Rhinolophus ferrumequinum: one gene and its partner. The protein of the gene in region 2 interacts with the protein of the main gene of each other region in a biochemical or structural test. Links are inferred from orthologs where the notes say so. Each region holds a gene or a part of one and is shown on either strand. Other genes may lie near its edges. The genes, in order: CD72 and SEMA4D.

What was found.
Region 1: the proteins of SEMA4D (region 2) and CD72 form a complex in vitro, tested with the Homo sapiens proteins (2 studies listed by BioGRID and IntAct). The link is inferred for Rhinolophus ferrumequinum from reciprocal best matches to the Homo sapiens genes SEMA4D and CD72.

The regions. Positions count from the first base shown.
Region 1 is NC_046295.1:51,821,680-51,829,531, reverse strand, and holds the start of CD72 (B-cell differentiation antigen CD72), read left to right. Parts: upstream 1-4,407; 5' UTR 4,408-5,593; coding exon 5,594-5,675; intron 5,676-5,792; coding exon 5,793-5,900; intron 5,901-5,918; exon of another isoform or gene 5,919-6,035; coding exon of another isoform or gene 6,036-6,147; intron 6,148-6,477; coding exon 6,478-6,549; intron 6,550-7,113; coding exon 7,114-7,203; intron 7,204-7,504; coding exon 7,505-7,840; intron 7,841-7,852. UniProt on the Homo sapiens protein: Co-receptor of B cell receptor (BCR) that plays both positive and negative roles on B-cell functions. Recognizes the Sm/ribonucleoprotein (RNP) self-antigen ligand, and coligation of CD72 and BCR inhibits BCR signaling.
Region 2 is NC_046295.1:4,543,700-4,551,941, forward strand, and holds the start of SEMA4D (semaphorin-4D), read left to right. Parts: upstream 1-4,838; 5' UTR 4,839-4,893; intron 4,894-8,242. UniProt on the Homo sapiens protein: Cell surface receptor for PLXNB1 and PLXNB2 that plays an important role in cell-cell signaling. Regulates GABAergic synapse development. Promotes the development of inhibitory synapses in a PLXNB1-dependent manner.

The DNA of each region.
Region 1 (7,852 bases), about 47 Mb from region 2:
TATGTTCAAATTCACAGGGACAGGCAATTTAAAGTAAGAGCGAGGTACCATTTTACATCCTTGGTGGCAAACGGGCTCAAAACCATTGGAAAACTCTGAAAGCTAGTGTAGCATGTGTCCTCAGAGTTACCCACCCCCAGGGCCGAGGTTGCTTGTGTGTGTATACCAGTTCCCACCAGTCACTGGTTGAGCTGCTCTGCGGAGAGGCCACTTTAACCGGCCATATGTTGGGGCAGAGCCACTTGCCAAAGAAAAGCTGCAGGCAAAGACACTGGCAGTTGGAAGCCAGGCTGATGTGCACCAAGTGGTAAGGCCTGAGAGGACAGGGATGGCTGAGGCACTGTCTGCTCGTGCGTTGCTCAGATCTACTCATGTCCCTCATTAAGTTCAGCCTGTCACTGCTTCTTAAAATAAGAAAGAGGAAGAGGAATAAAAAAGTAGACCAGGAGGGTTAGTGGGACAAGCTACAATCCCCACTGCTGTGGTTGGTTCTAAGGCTGCAACTGAGATACTGCATTTCCTCCTCTACCATTCCCTTACTCTCAAGCAGCACTAGATGCTGGTCTGGATGGCTGCCTGGTGGGTAACACAGACAGATCTTCATTTCCAAGGAGGCTGAGCCCCGATTACTGAGCCCTTTTCCGGTTGTGGTGGCTGCAGTTGCCCATTCGTGGATAGTTTATCACTGGGCACAGAGCACCAAGAGGCCCCATGAATCCCTTGGGCACACAGATACCTGCCACCTGCTCCTATTATGTAGCAGCAACGTTATCTCCTCATGAAAATCAGGTTTGATGACCCCTGCCAGGATAATCACTCCACTCCACGTGTGTGAGATGGGAGCAGCCAGGCACAATCGCTAAGGATGGAGGACTCTACCATGTGGACCGACGTAGACTCTTTGCAACCTTTTACCTCAGCTCCCACTGCTAACGGAGTGGTCATCTCCATATTTTTCCATTTAAATTCCTGAGAATGAAAAATAGATTGTCCCTGATTTCCAGGCCAAGCCACCCCATAGACCACAGCTTTGAGTCAGATGCCCAGTCAGCTAAGGTCAGAGGAGTTGGTGGTCACATAGCACAATTTTTGGCGTCTAGGGCTGCCTCATCAGCGGGGTTCGCTCCCCTCAAACGCGACCGTCCTTGTGGCTGGCACAGTGTTGACATCTGGTAAAGGAGATGTAGTCCTAAGGGATAGAATTTCACAAGCCCTCCTTGTGAACTAAGCGGTTCGTTCACAATTAGTAGCTTACAGCCTACTGAATCATTTCCTAATTTGTACAATAAGTGGATTGGGCTCGCTAAGATCCCTTCGAGCTCCAAAATGCCTGATAACTGCCCCTCCCCTCAAACCTTTGTACATAAACTATTGTTAAGCCAGACTCCCTCCATTACATGCTTCTGTAATTTGTTGTTTGAACTCAAAATTTCATTTTTCAATAAATGCTAGCTGTTATTATGTATCTGTATTACATTTCATTCTGTGGTTTGGAGCCGTCATTTTGCCCTTCCTCAGTGTTTGACTCCTGAATTTCCCTTTCGGTATATTTGCTTTTCCTTATAGTTCTGTGCCAACAGCATCTATGAATGTGTTTTCTGTGTCACTCTCCAAGACAGGACCAAGGAGGGGCCTGGGGCAAGTCACTGGAGACCTACTCTTTGGCTTCAGTGATCAGAGCTGCAAATCCCCTTTAGTGCTGTAAGACGGCTCACAGTTCTCCCTCCTGACTCTGAAGCTATGAACAGACTTTGAAAGATGCTTTTGCTAAAATCCCTACTATGTCTCCAGCAATCACATCCTTGATTGATGTCAGACATTCTCTAAACCATCCTATATTTTAAATAGGAAATTGTGACTTTTCCACATTCTGTGGCAGGGCTGACTTCTTTATTCATAATATCATGTTCTTTCCATTACATCATGCTTCTTCCACAGTTCGGGAAACTCATCTATTGCTGCTGTAACACATGACTAGAAATTCAGTGGCTTAAAAAACACAAATTTCTCATCTTCCAGTTCTGTGGGTCAGAAGTCTGACACAGGTCTCGCTGGACTAACATCAAGGTGTCAGCAGGGCTTGTTCCTTTCTGGAGGCTCTCGGGGAGAATCCATTTATATCAGGTGGCCTCTAGAGAAGCCTTTTCTAGCTTTAAGAAGATACCTGCATTCCTTGGCTCTTCACCTTCAAAGCCAGCAACTGGGGTGGAGTCCTTCTCATGTTGCATCTCTCTGCCCCCGCCCCCCATGGTTGAGTCTCTTTCTTTCCATGATCCTGAAAGCTTCTCCTTTCAAGGACTTGTGTGATTAGATTGGGCCTACCAGAGTAAAACAGGATGATCTCCCCATCTAAAGGTCCTTCACTTAATCACATTTACATTTTTGTCAGGTAAATTAACATATTCACGGGTTCTGGGGATTAGAGTGTGAACATTCTGGGGAGGCCATTATTCTGCCTACCATGCCCTATCCATAGATTTGGGCCCCCTGGAGCCAGTGGGTTACCTTAACGAAGCCAGATATAACCTGACTTTCAGGGTCTCAGGAGACTTCCTTGACTTCCTGATGTTGGCTGGACTTCACCACAGTTTATCCAGGTGAGCCCCTTTCCACACAGCCAATTCTGTTTTGGATGCCCTCAGAGTTGGGCTCCCTCCTCTTGTCACCTTAACAACCTATTCCCTGCAATAAACAGCGGAGGTCAGGAGAAGGCAAGCACTGGGCTTTGGTATTTGTCCTCTGGGACCACAGGTGATATTACGGTCCTGGAAAAGCTGCACAGCATTGCCCCTCAGCTCTTAAAGGCCGCAGGTGTTCCTGACATTTGGGCAGGTAAGAGTTCGCAGTTACAGGTGTCCTTCCTGATGTTCAGTTTTGAAAGATAATATGAGTGTCAATATTTCAGACTCCATGTGACACACATGGGGAAGAAGGACCCTGCTCTCATACCTATTAGTAAAGGAAGGCCACAAGACAGTTTAGGATGGAAGGAAATGCGGACTGCCACAGGAGATGTGTAACCTTACGACAGTCCGCATTTCCAGTCTGCCAAAAGAGCGGAAGAGGAGAGGAATACGGGCCAAGCCTGCCTAAGACAGGCCACGGTGGGTGCGCAGTTTGGTTCATCCCAGTTCCCTCCCTCTGAAGCCTCTCCAAGAGTCAAGTTAGGCAGCATGCCCACTGATTCTTTGTTGAGCACATACTAGAAACTGGCTTTTGGCATTTTACCTGGCATCCAAACCACGTTCACTTGTGTTTTGTTCTGAAAACCGGGACATTATCTACAGTTTATAGCATTCCTACAAGTCTTCCTGCAACTGATTTACACACACTCTGCCCTCTATACCACAGACACAAGTACCCCGACTGCCCCCACTCACCCCTGCCACAGCTGTGCTGCACACTCCCACTCACTTTCACAGGCCTGAGGTCCCCAGGGAGTCACCAACACACAGCACTGCCTGTTATCTGGGGGAGGCCCTGACCAGGTGCCTGGGGGAGGGGACTGGGTTGTTGGAAACTTTAATCAAGCAGAGACGGTTAACAGCTGCAGGGACACCTTAGGAAACACGGAGCCTCACAAAGGAAATAGTTGTAGAATCCGTCCCCACGACTTTTCAAGACTTTTCTGAAAATCGCCTGTCATTCCCTGCTGTGGAAAAAAATAACCGCTATCACAGGCACACTTCAGCCCACTGAATCCTTTGTGCTTAATCCCCTGGAGCAGGCTTTGACATAACACGCTCATCTCCCACAGACACCCCCAAGAGACCGCAAAGACCTGGGGATGCACAGACACACACACCCCTGCCTCTCCCTGAGACAAGTCCTTAGATAACAAATGCACTTTTTCTGGGGCAGGCTGGGTGACACTGTTGGGGAGAGCTCCCCACAGACCCGTGGGCCCATCACAGCGCTCCTCCACACACCACTAATCAAATATTACAAGCTGTTAGCATGTGGTGAGGACCTCTTCCCCTTCCTTCCCCTCCCCGCAGCTGCAGGGGATGATTTTGAGGGGGCGGATGTCACCCATTGGGGGTGGGTTTTTCCTACCTCCATACCTTGTCTTGACCCAGCTTCTTCCCACCCCCAGAAGTAGGCCGTTTTGAGGTCACATCCTGGTAAAAGAACATCAGGGAACACCTCTGAACCACTGCTCAGCAGGCCCCTCCTGCCTCCCCTGGTCTCCCTCTCTTCCATCATCCAGGCTTTCATCAGCGATGAGGGCCTCTCAGTCCCTGGTTTTCCCCCATAAATTCCCCTTTCCTCAGGGCTGGGTGTAAAGGGACGTTGAGATTTTTTTTAAGGAAGTACTTTACTGGAAAGTAAGAAAGAAACAAAAACCAAACCAAGAAAATGTCAAAACCTCAGCTGATCCGGAGTTTGTACTCATAGCAGCCAGCCCTGCTTCATTTCTTTGCCTCCCCTCATCTAAGAAGCTAAGCACTTCTTCATTCCTATACCACTCCTCCGCTTGCCTGCTCTCTGACCCCACCCCCAACACCAAAGGGCTCATGAGCAGTTAGTGCTGCAGGCTTTTCCAGAGATGCACAAGCTGGGGTTGCCCTCATCCTCACCCCCAGCCCAGACCTATCCCAGAGCCTCTGCCTCCTGGACTCAGCTTGCTGGATCCAGCTCAGATGTTGGCACTCAGCTGATGCCATGAGTCCAGCAGGGGGCAGGATGGGACCAGGAAGGGGCTGACTGGCCACAGGTGTGCTGGGTAGGGCAACAAAGGTGGAAGAGGCCAGGGAAAGGCTGTGAAGAGACGTCTGGGGCGTTTGCAGAGAAGAAGCAGTGTGGTCCCAGATCCTCTGCACCCTCCAAAGGCTGCGATTCCCGGGAAGAGCTTCGGTGTGAGACCCTCCCTGTGTGTGGGATCCTCAGTAGCTCTGTGGGACTACAGCAGGAGGGGAGCTGGCTTCACTCTAAAAGCTCCCAAACTGATGGGGAGATGAGCCCACAAAATCAGGGACCCTTTTCTGGGAATGCATACCTGCTGGGAACCCCAGGATGATGAGGAGCTAGGGCTCCATACTAGAACCCCCCAATCTGATGGGGAGGATGAAGCCCCACCCTAGAGCAATGATTGGGGGGATCCTCTGGGATCAGCTGGGCACAAAAGAGCTCTGACTACACAGAGAAAGCCTGTGGACAAGGTAGCCAGGAGAGGAGCCATGGGGCCAATCAGGGCAGATGATCAGGAGGATGGGTATTTGGAGGCGACACTGCCAAAGTGGGTCTGGGGTACATGAAGGTGGAGCACAGGCAGGACACAGGGACAGACCTGAGTAGTAGTCCTGTGACCTGCCCCCCCCAGTCCTGACCCCCATGCTCTGAACCTCAGTTTCTCCTCCCCTGACGCTCTGGCCAGTGCTCAAGGATATGATCCACTTCACTGAACCCATCTGTCTGAGATTTGCTCACACCTTCCTCTTTTGTGACTGGAAGTCACAGGGCAAAGCCGTAAGCTGTACATTCACAGAGGGAACACAGCCTAAGAGTGTGCAAGGACAGAGGGGAAAGTGGCAAGGGAAGCTTGGTGCCAGTGGAAGAGGGGGACACGGGTGGGGCAGAGGTGCCCAGGACCATGGCTGAGGCTGTCACCTATGCAGACCTGCGGTTTGTGAAGGCTCCCCTGAAGAAGAGCATCTCCAGCCAGTTAGGACAGGGTAAGGGGTGGCTGAGTATCTCCTTGATTCTGCATCCCCATCCCCTTCATGACCCCACCCCACCCCACAGACTCTCATTCCTGACCCCCATCTTGGTCCCTTTTTTCTCTTCTCCAGACCCAGAGGCTGATGATGATGGGGAACTCACCTATGAGAATGTACAAGTGCCCTCAGTCTCCGGGGGGCCCTTGAGCTTGGCTTCCTCTGGACTAGGGGACAAAACCGGTATGAAGAGCCCACGGATGTGTGTTTGTGTAGGGGGTGTATCTTGAGCTGGGGAGTCCGCAGTATTCTTGGGAGGACAATACCCTTGGGAAAAGGTGGGGGTTCTTAGGAAAGGTTAGAATGAGCACCGGATAAATGGCAGTCAGGGGAAGAACAAGGCTCCCAGATCGCAGCGGGGATCGGGGAGAGATCAGGACAGCGCCGTGGGGAGACGAATTCGAATGGGAACTAGGAAGTCACACGACGGGTAAGAGAGGGTAGGGGAGAGGGATGAGAGAGCTCCCAAGAGCGGGTTTGGCACAAGCAGAGAGGGACCCTGCGGAAAACATAAAGGGAGACCCAAAAGGGCGAGGAGTGGGTCCCTGGGGAACAGATAGGTATAAGGTCCAGGAGGGACACGAGAGAGTCCCGGGGGAGCTGGGGAACTCCACGGAGTGCAAAGGGCGACCCGGAGCAGTTGCAGAAGGCAACGGGGGACACTGGAGTCTCAACGAGGTGGAGGGGGTGTGAGGGGTGGGAAAAGGGGCATTTCCCGGGGCTTCCCATCTGCTCATTGGACTTCGCTCGCCTTGCGCAGGAGTCCAGTCGGAGCTGCCAACAGCGTCCTGGAGCTCCGTGACGTCACCCGCTGCCAGGAGGCTTCTGGAGTGTGAGTACCGCGCCCTCCCGGCCGCGCGCGCCGCCGGCGGCGGGGCTCGCGCGCGACCGCGGCCTCACTCCCCTTGCCGACCCCGCAAGGACCGCGGGGGTGGGCGCGAAGTGCTGTGCTGGTGCGGGGTCGGGCGCGGGTGGTACTGGGTCCTGCTGTGTGCAGGTCTGTTCCCGGGCGCAGTCCCCCGGACCGCCTGGGCAGCTCCACGACACCCCCCTGCCCCTTTCACCCCCATCTTTCTGATGTGTCGACCCAGATCCTCCCCTCTTCTCCCCCCTTACGATGGGCCCCATTCGTATACCCTCTGCGGCTGTCTCGGTCTGAGGTTTGGTGCCTCCTCCGACCCGGTAGTGCACAGTCACACTCTTTACAGTCACAGGCCCCAGCCCTTATTCTGGAACGCCTTCCCTCCGCTACCTGTGGAAACTCACTGCCCCACAAAAACCAGGTCTGCACCACGTCCTCTGAGGGAGGCTCTTTCCCGTGAATCTCCCCACCCACCCCTCAGTCTATAAACTCTTTCCTGGGGCTCACTGCCCCCCATCCCATTGTCTCCCTAAGGCGGTTCAGCCTGCTCCAAATACCTGCTTCTCGGCCTGCTCCTCACCTGCCTGCTGTTAGGGATGGCTGCCATTTCCCTGGGAGTGCGCTGTGAGTATGGCTGCCCTCCCCCACCCATTTCCCACTTACCCCAAACAACTTTCTCCCCTCCTCTCCCCAATAGCTGCGCTTCCTCAGCAGGGGCTGGAGTCACCAGCCAGGTTTGTTTTAGAGCATTATGTCTTCATCGTCCTTACGTGATTCAGTACCTCCTTAAGCTTTAGGCCGATCTTCTATTTCAGCCTGCCATGCAAAACGTTGCAAGAAGCAAAAAGGGCTGACACTGAAGTCTCGGGGCACCAGGGCACAGCTGAAGATGATGCCCTCCAAATCTCTCTTTATGGCCAAACAGATCTGCAGGTGTCCCAGCAGCTCCAGCACGTGAACAGGGTTCTGGAAGCTACTAACAGCAGCATGAGGCAGCAGCTCCACCAAAGGACCGCCCAGATGAGGCAGAGGGAACAGGATCTGCAGGCGACCAGAAGGGAGCTGGCCCAGAGTCAGGAGACACTACAGGCGGAACGGAGGGATTGCCAGGCTGTCAAAGAGAAGTTACAGGCCTGCGAGTCTGAGAGGGAGAAGACCAAGGAGACCTTGCGAAGCGAGGAGGGACAGAGGAAGACCTTGGAGGAGAGGCTGAACCGCATGCAGGACAGGCTGAAGCCCTTCTTCACATGCCCCTCACCAGGTATCTGCTCTG
Region 2 (8,242 bases):
GGGCCGTGAGATTCTGGTCAGACCTTTCCCTGCACTGGGGAGTGCCCCAGCTGTGTCACGAAGGCATAGTACCGTTGTGTGTGGCTGTGTTAACATTTTATTTAAGTCCACTTTGTAGCACATGCGTGTGCTTTACAAGTCCTCATTTACACAGTTTCATCCCCAGAGGGGAGCTGCATTGTATCCTCCCCCTGGGGAGGTGGAAGGGCTGAGGCAGTAGCTGGGGAGGGTGCAGGGCTGGGGGAGTACCTGGGAGAAGTGCAGGGGCTAAGGGAGTAGCTGGGGGAGGTGGGAAGGGAGTGACCTGTTCTAAGGGCAGCACCAGACCTGCACCCACGCAGGCTGGCCTCAGAGCCCACATCTGGTCAGCACACTTTGCTGCCTCCCCTGTTAGGGGGAGAATAAACACAAACTGAGTTAAAGCATCTAATTGACTTGAAAGAAGTATAGAAAGTGGTTGTGCTACATGACTTGATTGTGTTTTATAGCAGACAACGTGAACGTATGTACGCCCTTTCAAAAATAGCTCAACTAACTGGAAAAACTTAGAAGAAGATTGACTAAACATAAGTCATAGAAATTATGTAGGACGTCCCCTAGTAGAAGGAAGTGAACCTGTCAGTGATGAGTCAGAGGCCTGAGTCAGCTTCCTGCTCCCCGAGGTATGAAAGAACAGAGCCTTCTCACCGTCTCATGCTGTCCTCTGTGTGCCACCCAGACCCCTGCAAATAGGCTTTGTGTTCTAGGTAGAAAAGCTTCTCGGTCAGGTTTTGCTGGTGGTTAAAATCAGTCTTTAAAAATGAATTTGAAGTGGAAAATTGGCAATGATCTGAATTCCAACATTATCAGATATAATTGGAACATCGCATAGCCATGGAGTGATACTTGGGAGCCCTGAACTTACACGGGATGATGCCACATGAGGATATTCGCAGGGAACTCAGCACAGTTCACCCAGGGGTCCTGCCTTCCCCTCCTGCGGCCCACAGGTGACAGGTCCTCGCTTCCTTCTTGGACTTCCGGATCTCTGTTTCTGCTGCCCTGTGGCTACCAGCCTGCCTCTCCCACCCCCCGGGGCACTGTGGGGTCATTGCAGCCCCCTCCCCCAGGCCCTGTGCACTGGCACATTTCAGCACGAGCATGCGTGGCCCACCCTCCAGAAAGGGTCACGAGTGAACGCTCTCCTCTATTTCAGTTATTTAGAAGGAGGAGGTCTAACAGAATGTCAGAATGACTGGAAATGATGTTAAGTCTGTCTGCTGTTCTTAAAAACTTCCATTTTGATGAAATCCAGTTAGTAAACTTCAAAAAGGAATCGTATTTATTATTATTAATTAACAGTCAAGGTATTACAGCCTTTTTTTCAATTGTGAGAAATGTGTTTTATCTAGCCTTTTCTATATTTTCCAAATTTTTCACATTTAATATAACTTACTTTTAATACCAGGTTAAAAATATCTTAATTAGAACACCACATGCTTAAGATAAGCATTCAGATAGTACTAAAAACTACAAATACTGAAAAATGAAATACACTCCTACCCCAGACAAAGCCACTCTCGACTCGAGTCACTCACTGCCAGCAGGTCTTTGATTAAATTCTGGTATAATCAAGTAGTGCTTCTGATTAAACTACACACACACACACACACACACACACACACAAATGGTCATATACATGTGCCAACACAAATGGGAACATAGTATAACACTATTGAGAATCTTAATTTTTACTGAACTAAGTATCGGACATTCTTTCATTTCAGTGGCTGCTTTAATCTTTTAAACAGCTGCATAGTATTCCAACCTAGGGATGTGCCACAATTCCTATATAAATAAATATACATATATACAATATACGTATCTGTGTCTACACACACATGCACTCACATACACACAGAATTCTTCTAGGTGTTTCCAGTTTTCCTGTTGAATAGCCTTGTACTTGGGCATCTTGAGCATGTTGGGGTGTATCCACACTGGTCCCTGGCAGAGAACTGCCAGGTCCATCCTCACAGGTGTCGTTCAGTTGCCCAGTGCGTGCAAACTCCCCTGGCCCCTCATCACTGCACTTTATGACCAGCTGTCTCATGGCTGCCCCTCCCAGAGGTGGGATGGCGTCTGGCTATAATGTGCCAACCCCCCCAGACAGGACAGTGGGGTGGAGTACTCGTTGCTGTTGGCGGGCGGGGAGGGTTCTGGGCTGGGTGAGGAGGTTGAACAGACGGGGCTTGAGGCCTCCTACCCGTGCACAGTGGCCGTGATCGGGGCCTTGTGGTGCGGGCCCTGTGCCAGGGCGAGTGTGGCCGTGGGCCCGAGCTCCCTGTGGGCAGGAGGAGGCTGGGGGAGCCCTGGGACATTTTGCAGGAGGGGACTTAGATGTGTTAGCAGCCAAATCCTGCTTTTCGATCCTAGGGAGTCTTCTTATCAAGGGTTCCCAGGTAGGAAGGCTCATCACTGAGATTTACGCGGGGCTTCCTAGGCGCCACACGCTGCCTTAAGCTCTTCATGTGGTCACTCATGGAGCCTCATAATAACCAAGTGAGGTAGGCACTCTGATCAGGCCCACTTTCTGGATAAGGAAACAGGCACAGAGAGGCCCAGAAACTTCCCCACGGACACACAGCTGGTAAGTGTAGGTGCCAGGCCTAGAGCCCAGATCACTCTTCATACTCTCACCCATCCCACCTGTGTCTTCTCCACCTGCTAAAGAGGTCACCTGGCTGGTACCAGGGTGAGAGACTTTTGGAACGAGGGGTCACAGCTGCAGATCGTGGGCAAGATGCACGGGAGGCAGAGGCCCATCTCACCATGGCCTTTGGCTGTTGTCATGAGTGGCAGACGGACCGTCAGACATGGCAGTTGGGTCTCCCATGCTCTCCTGCACTACATGGGGACAGGTTGGGGGCAAAGGCCAAGTTTCCTGGGAAATAATTCTCTCCCTGATTAATTTCATTCCTTTTTTTTATAGTTGAACCCTTGCATTCTTTCAGGGGCAGTACAAGAAGTTAGGAGATGCCTAGTTAAAACCATATCGTTAGTAATTGTGTGAGGAATTTGTATTTTGCATGCTTCAGTGTCGTGATAACTAATTATAGCTTGGAGGTTTTTACCTTGAGAGAGAAGAAAAAATTGCCATGATGAAGGGTACAGACAACCGGGGACTTGGGCCTCTGTGGTTGATTGAGGCCGGAAGTGTGTATTTTCACCCAGAAACCACAGGCTAAAAGATGTTTGGCGGAGGTGACAGATGGAGACTTGGCTTGGAGGAGAAAACGAGTGTGCTGGGTCCCAGTGCACTGGGTGAGGTTATTAAGAATACACACACACGCAGAACCCTAACCTGCCGTCATGTGTGTGTGCAGTACCAGGAATTTAAGGTGAATAAATAGGATGTGTGCTTGTCCAAGCACAGAACAAGCAGCTCTGGGCTTTCATTTATTGAAGTGACAAAGGCTTACTGAATTTCGGAAAGGGAGTTTTTCGGTTATAATTTTCAGTATTCTTATTGTTTCTTATAAGAGGTTTAGATAAAACCTCTTATTTGTGTGTGAATCACTCTTTTTCCCATAAGTATTTTCTCCAGTCTCCAGATGGCTGTTTTGCCCCCTCACCGCCACCTGTGTGACAGGAAAATCCCACAGTTCGTTAGGCTTGCACATCGCCTGTTAATCGGCTGAGCCAAAATCTCCCCCAGCATTAAAATAGAAGACATTGGTTCCATGTCCTGCGTGGATATGGCCTCTCCAGGACACTTCCTGCTTGCTCAGATGTGAAGTTAATTTTGCTTACACATTGGCTGTCAGACGCAGAACCAGTCCTTGGAAGCCCAGCCACAGTGCAGCCTGATGCATCCTAAGCATTTCTGCCTGTTACTTTGGCGTCTCATTTGCTAACTCAAGGTGTTTGCTCAGGATTCAGGGGACATGTCAGGCCCTGAGGGGCCCCCGGTGACCCTGGAAATCATGTGCTGTGAGTGGCCGTTGAACGGTGGGTGCAAGCTGGGTTCCGTGCTGCGGGCGCGACCCCACCGCTCGGGCTGTGTGTGGGGGAAAATGGGCCATTAGCTGTGTTCCCGCGGAGCCCATGCTACTTCTTAGCTGTCTTCAGAGAAATGGCAAGAATTGTGTAAGCTCTTAAAGCAAAAGAAAGGAATACCCCCGCCACAGAAGATGCTCAAGTTTGATTCTGAGGTGTAAAGACTGTGTTGGATCATTCGCAGCCATCGAGGAGTCAAGCTCAGTTGAACCCACTGCTAATCCTGCAAGAATCTTCATGGTGGCCTCTGGCTTCACCACTCAGATTCTCTTTGTTGAACGGTTTGTGATCTCGCTGGACTCCAGGATCTCTGTTTTGAGCGCTCCCTCCTGTACTGTGAAGGAGTAACAAACACATCACAGAAACTTGCTACACCACTGTGGAAATTCTCTGTTTGGCTTAAAAACAACAATCAAAAGGAAAGAAAAATGGGAATGTTAAACAGGTTCTTCAGGAAGTCATTTCTTGTAGATATTTTGTATGTATCTCTGCTTTTTCTTTCATTGCCTCACACCTTTGGTGTTCAAGGAAGAGGAGTTCCAAAGGATACACATCTGAGAATCCCATAATCCTTTTTTGATCAGTGACCATGACCGTGGCTTGAATTTAAGTGGCTTATTTTGCGGGGGAAGTAGTGGCTGTCAGTAGCTGGGATCAGCTCCTGCCTCTGGGTGACTGGCCAAGTTGCATTTCCTTTGTTTATGGGTGAGCGATCTCACACTCACTCCCTTGTCGCATTTGCACAAGTGCATGAATGCCACGCTAACCCTGGGTCAGAGAGTCAGCGACCAGAGGATCCAGAAGTTAAATTCTTCCTAGAAGCAATTGGGGAGTTTCAAGAGGCACAAGATACTGGTAAAATCACTTTTTTTTCCCTCCATCTATATCCCAGTTTAGCAAACTTGACACCTTATGGAAGCCCCAGTGGGATTCAGCAGTTTGGTTGTTGGACCCTGCGTGCTCTTGGGGTCAAAGATGTGGACTTCACCGCCGTCCCTAGGGGTGGCCTGAGGGGGAGCCCACAGGGCAGTGGGTGCGGCAAGTGTCGCCTGTTTTTTCTTCCTCCCTCCCATTGCCTTTTCCCCCCCTGGGCTGCTTCCCTGCTCGCTTTGGACGGATGGCCCCTACCTAGTCTGAGCGTTGAAACGCTCCATCTTCTCTTTGGCAGGACGGTGAGGTCCGATTTCAAAGGAGAGCTCTCAGTGTCGTCGCGCCCTGGATTTGGGTGGTTTTGTGATTCATCTTAATTTTGACCAGTTAGTACATGGTCGCCCATGTATTTCCAGTTGTAGAGGAAAGGGAAATGCCAGTTTAATTTGTAAAAACAAAAGGAAAGCTCTCCTCTCCCCTTCGTCCATTTCTGTGACTCACCTGTTGTGAATGGGCCTAGCAAAGGTGTCGCTCTGCTTGTCTCAGCAGTCCTGCCACCAGCAAGGTCTTAGGGGCTAGTTTGTGCCAGTGGGTGGGCACTGGTAATGATGCAGCTCACCTCGGGGACACTTGGCATTGCATTTATTGGCTGGTTACGGACACGCATACGAGTACATTTCCTGAACAGCCTTGTCTGCTGGGCCAGGCTCGGTGGTTTCTCGCTAGTGTGTTAGGTTGCTGCATTAAGAATTGCAAGCCCAGGCATTTATGTTACAAGGATTTTTTTCCCTAGCTTTTTATCCCCTAGATCATTTGTCTTTGGATTTTGATTGCTGAGCCCTTTAACTTACAGGGCTGATGGGGTCCCCGCTGCCCCTGCACCCACCTTGCTTATGCCCTTCTGAATGCCTGCCAGTTGTCACTGCTGGTTGATTGGCTGGTATGTGTGTTCCTCACCCCGCTGCCCTCCCCTTTCCAGCTCCCGTAAGCATGCGCATGGCACACACGTGCTGGGCTTTGCATAAGGGAACGAGGTTAAGGCGTGTCAGACATCCTGACTGGCTTGTGTGCCCCTGCAACGTTCATTGCTGGAGGTGAAAGCAGGCATCCTGGGACAGTGTCCTGGATGCTTTTCTGTGGGGTGGGTCCAGCTGGACCCAGCTCCAGGGCTCAGCTTGTCCCTGTGCAGCTGGAATGCTGCTGCCGGATGCTCTGCTCTAAGTTCTGGGGAAACTGAAGTTGAAACAATGAACTCTTTGTTGGGCATGTGACACAGAGAGCTCCTGAAATCAATCCTGATTCCTGGGGGACAAGGCCATTTCTGTGAGGTGGTGACATCAGCACCATAGCCAGGGTCTGGGGAGGAGACCAGGCGTAGGGGACGGGACATGAGGTGGGGGAGGGGAGCCTGGGGATGTAGGGGGCAGGCCTGGGGGTAACATCGGCAGGACATGTCTTGGGGTGGCTGCCTCTCTCTGCTCCCGCTGGGAGGGGAGGGTGTGAGGAGGTGCAAGGCCTCCGTTGTACCGGCCACAGGGCCTGGATGGGGAGCAGGGCTTCACCCGTGCTGTCTGGACAAACACTGTAGACAAGAAGCCAGAGCAGATTGCCTCAGCAGTCGTCCACAGCTGTCACCCAGGATCCCCTTTCACAGGTTCCCTGGGGATCCCAGTGAGGGCACTTTTAATGTTGGCTATCAGCCTGTTGCTGATGGGAGCACTGACACCTGATGTGTGGTAGTGAGTGGCGTCCCCTCTGTGACCCACCCCTACTGCCTCAGATAGCTGGTCCCAAGAAGGGAAGCCAAGGCGTGACGTGGGTATGACAGACCTCATAGCACCTGTGGCCCACGGTGCCTGCCTTACTGCACCCCAGCTGGCAGTCACCATTCACATCTAAGAATGCAACACCAGATCAGAATTTTTGTGCTGCAGCAGAGTGTGGCCATACCACACGCCCATGTGCACATACCTGTATGCACACATGCAAACACATGCTCAGGGATGTATACATACATGAATGCACACACATGCATGCAAGTATGGATGCTTATACATACACGTATCACACTTATACAGATGTACGCAAATGCACGTATACATATGCACAGAAACTCCGATGCACACAGGTGCACGCATAACATGCATGCCCAGACGTGTGTGTGCGTGCTGACATGCAGATGTGTGTGCATACAGACATTTGTGCACACAGTGTTGTGAACTAGCTCTTACCCTTACAGTTTGCTGGGTGTGCCTGTTTTCTCTGCCGCAACCCTCCGGCTTGGTTCAAGGCCCCTGGGGTGGAAAGCTGCCATGTGACAGGCACTGACAAGCCCTGAGTGATGGGCTCAGAGACCCCTCTGGGTTCTCTTCTCCTGTTATTTAAAGTGGGATCATGCACTGCTCACAAACCAGCACAATTCCTCATAGGTAATGGGAGTGACATGTGTGACCCTGTCATCCTAATGGGCCTCTGTCTCAGGGTGAAAGGCAGCACTTTGCACAGGGAAGTGAAGGGCTGCTCCTGACGGCTCCCAGCAAGCTGCCTGAGAAATGCCCCGCAAAGCCAGCAGATAGGCACTGCATTCTCTTGTTTCCATTTGAATGTGTCTGGTGATTCCTGATGGGACACCCCGCAAACATCATGGAGGCAGTGTTGCTGGAGGAGAGCACGGTGGCAGCGTGTGCGTGTGGGTGTGGGGTGTGCTTTGCTTAGCAGTTTTTAGATTATATTAAAGAATGCATGCTTGGCAGAAAAGTAAAAGCATCTACCCCTTCCAATGTCATAAAGCAATGTCCTCTGCATGGAGGGGTGTCTGTGTGGCAGGGACCCTCCTGCCTTTGGCTGTCCATGTGCATTTTTTTTAAAGACCATTTGGGAACGAGAGGCAGGGTCCGATTCGGGCCGTCAAGAATCTGGTGTCTGCTGATGAGATAAATACAGCTCAGAGCTGGATAAAATCTGTGTGTGCTGGGGCACCCACGTGCTTCTGCAGAAAGAACTTCTCTGTCCTCCGGTCCCGCTGGCAGGGCTGCCCGGAAATGGCCGAAAGTGACAGCCACCGGCTCCTGAATAGCAGTGTCGGGTTTGGTCCAGGCTAAAGGCAATTAAAAAATGTCTTCTCTTCTCACCTAAATCAGTTTGAGCAGCCTGCGTGTACAGAGGGAGACGCAGGCCTCCACCCAGCGTCTGCTATTGAGTTTGTCAGGCAGCTCCGCCTGTGTGGGAGCTGCGGGGGAGAACGCCTTTATGAGGCCCGTTCTCAACTTCTGTTCATTCTGGGGACTTTGTTCATGAGACTTTCTGCCACCGGGGACTCAGCTTGGTTCTCTCG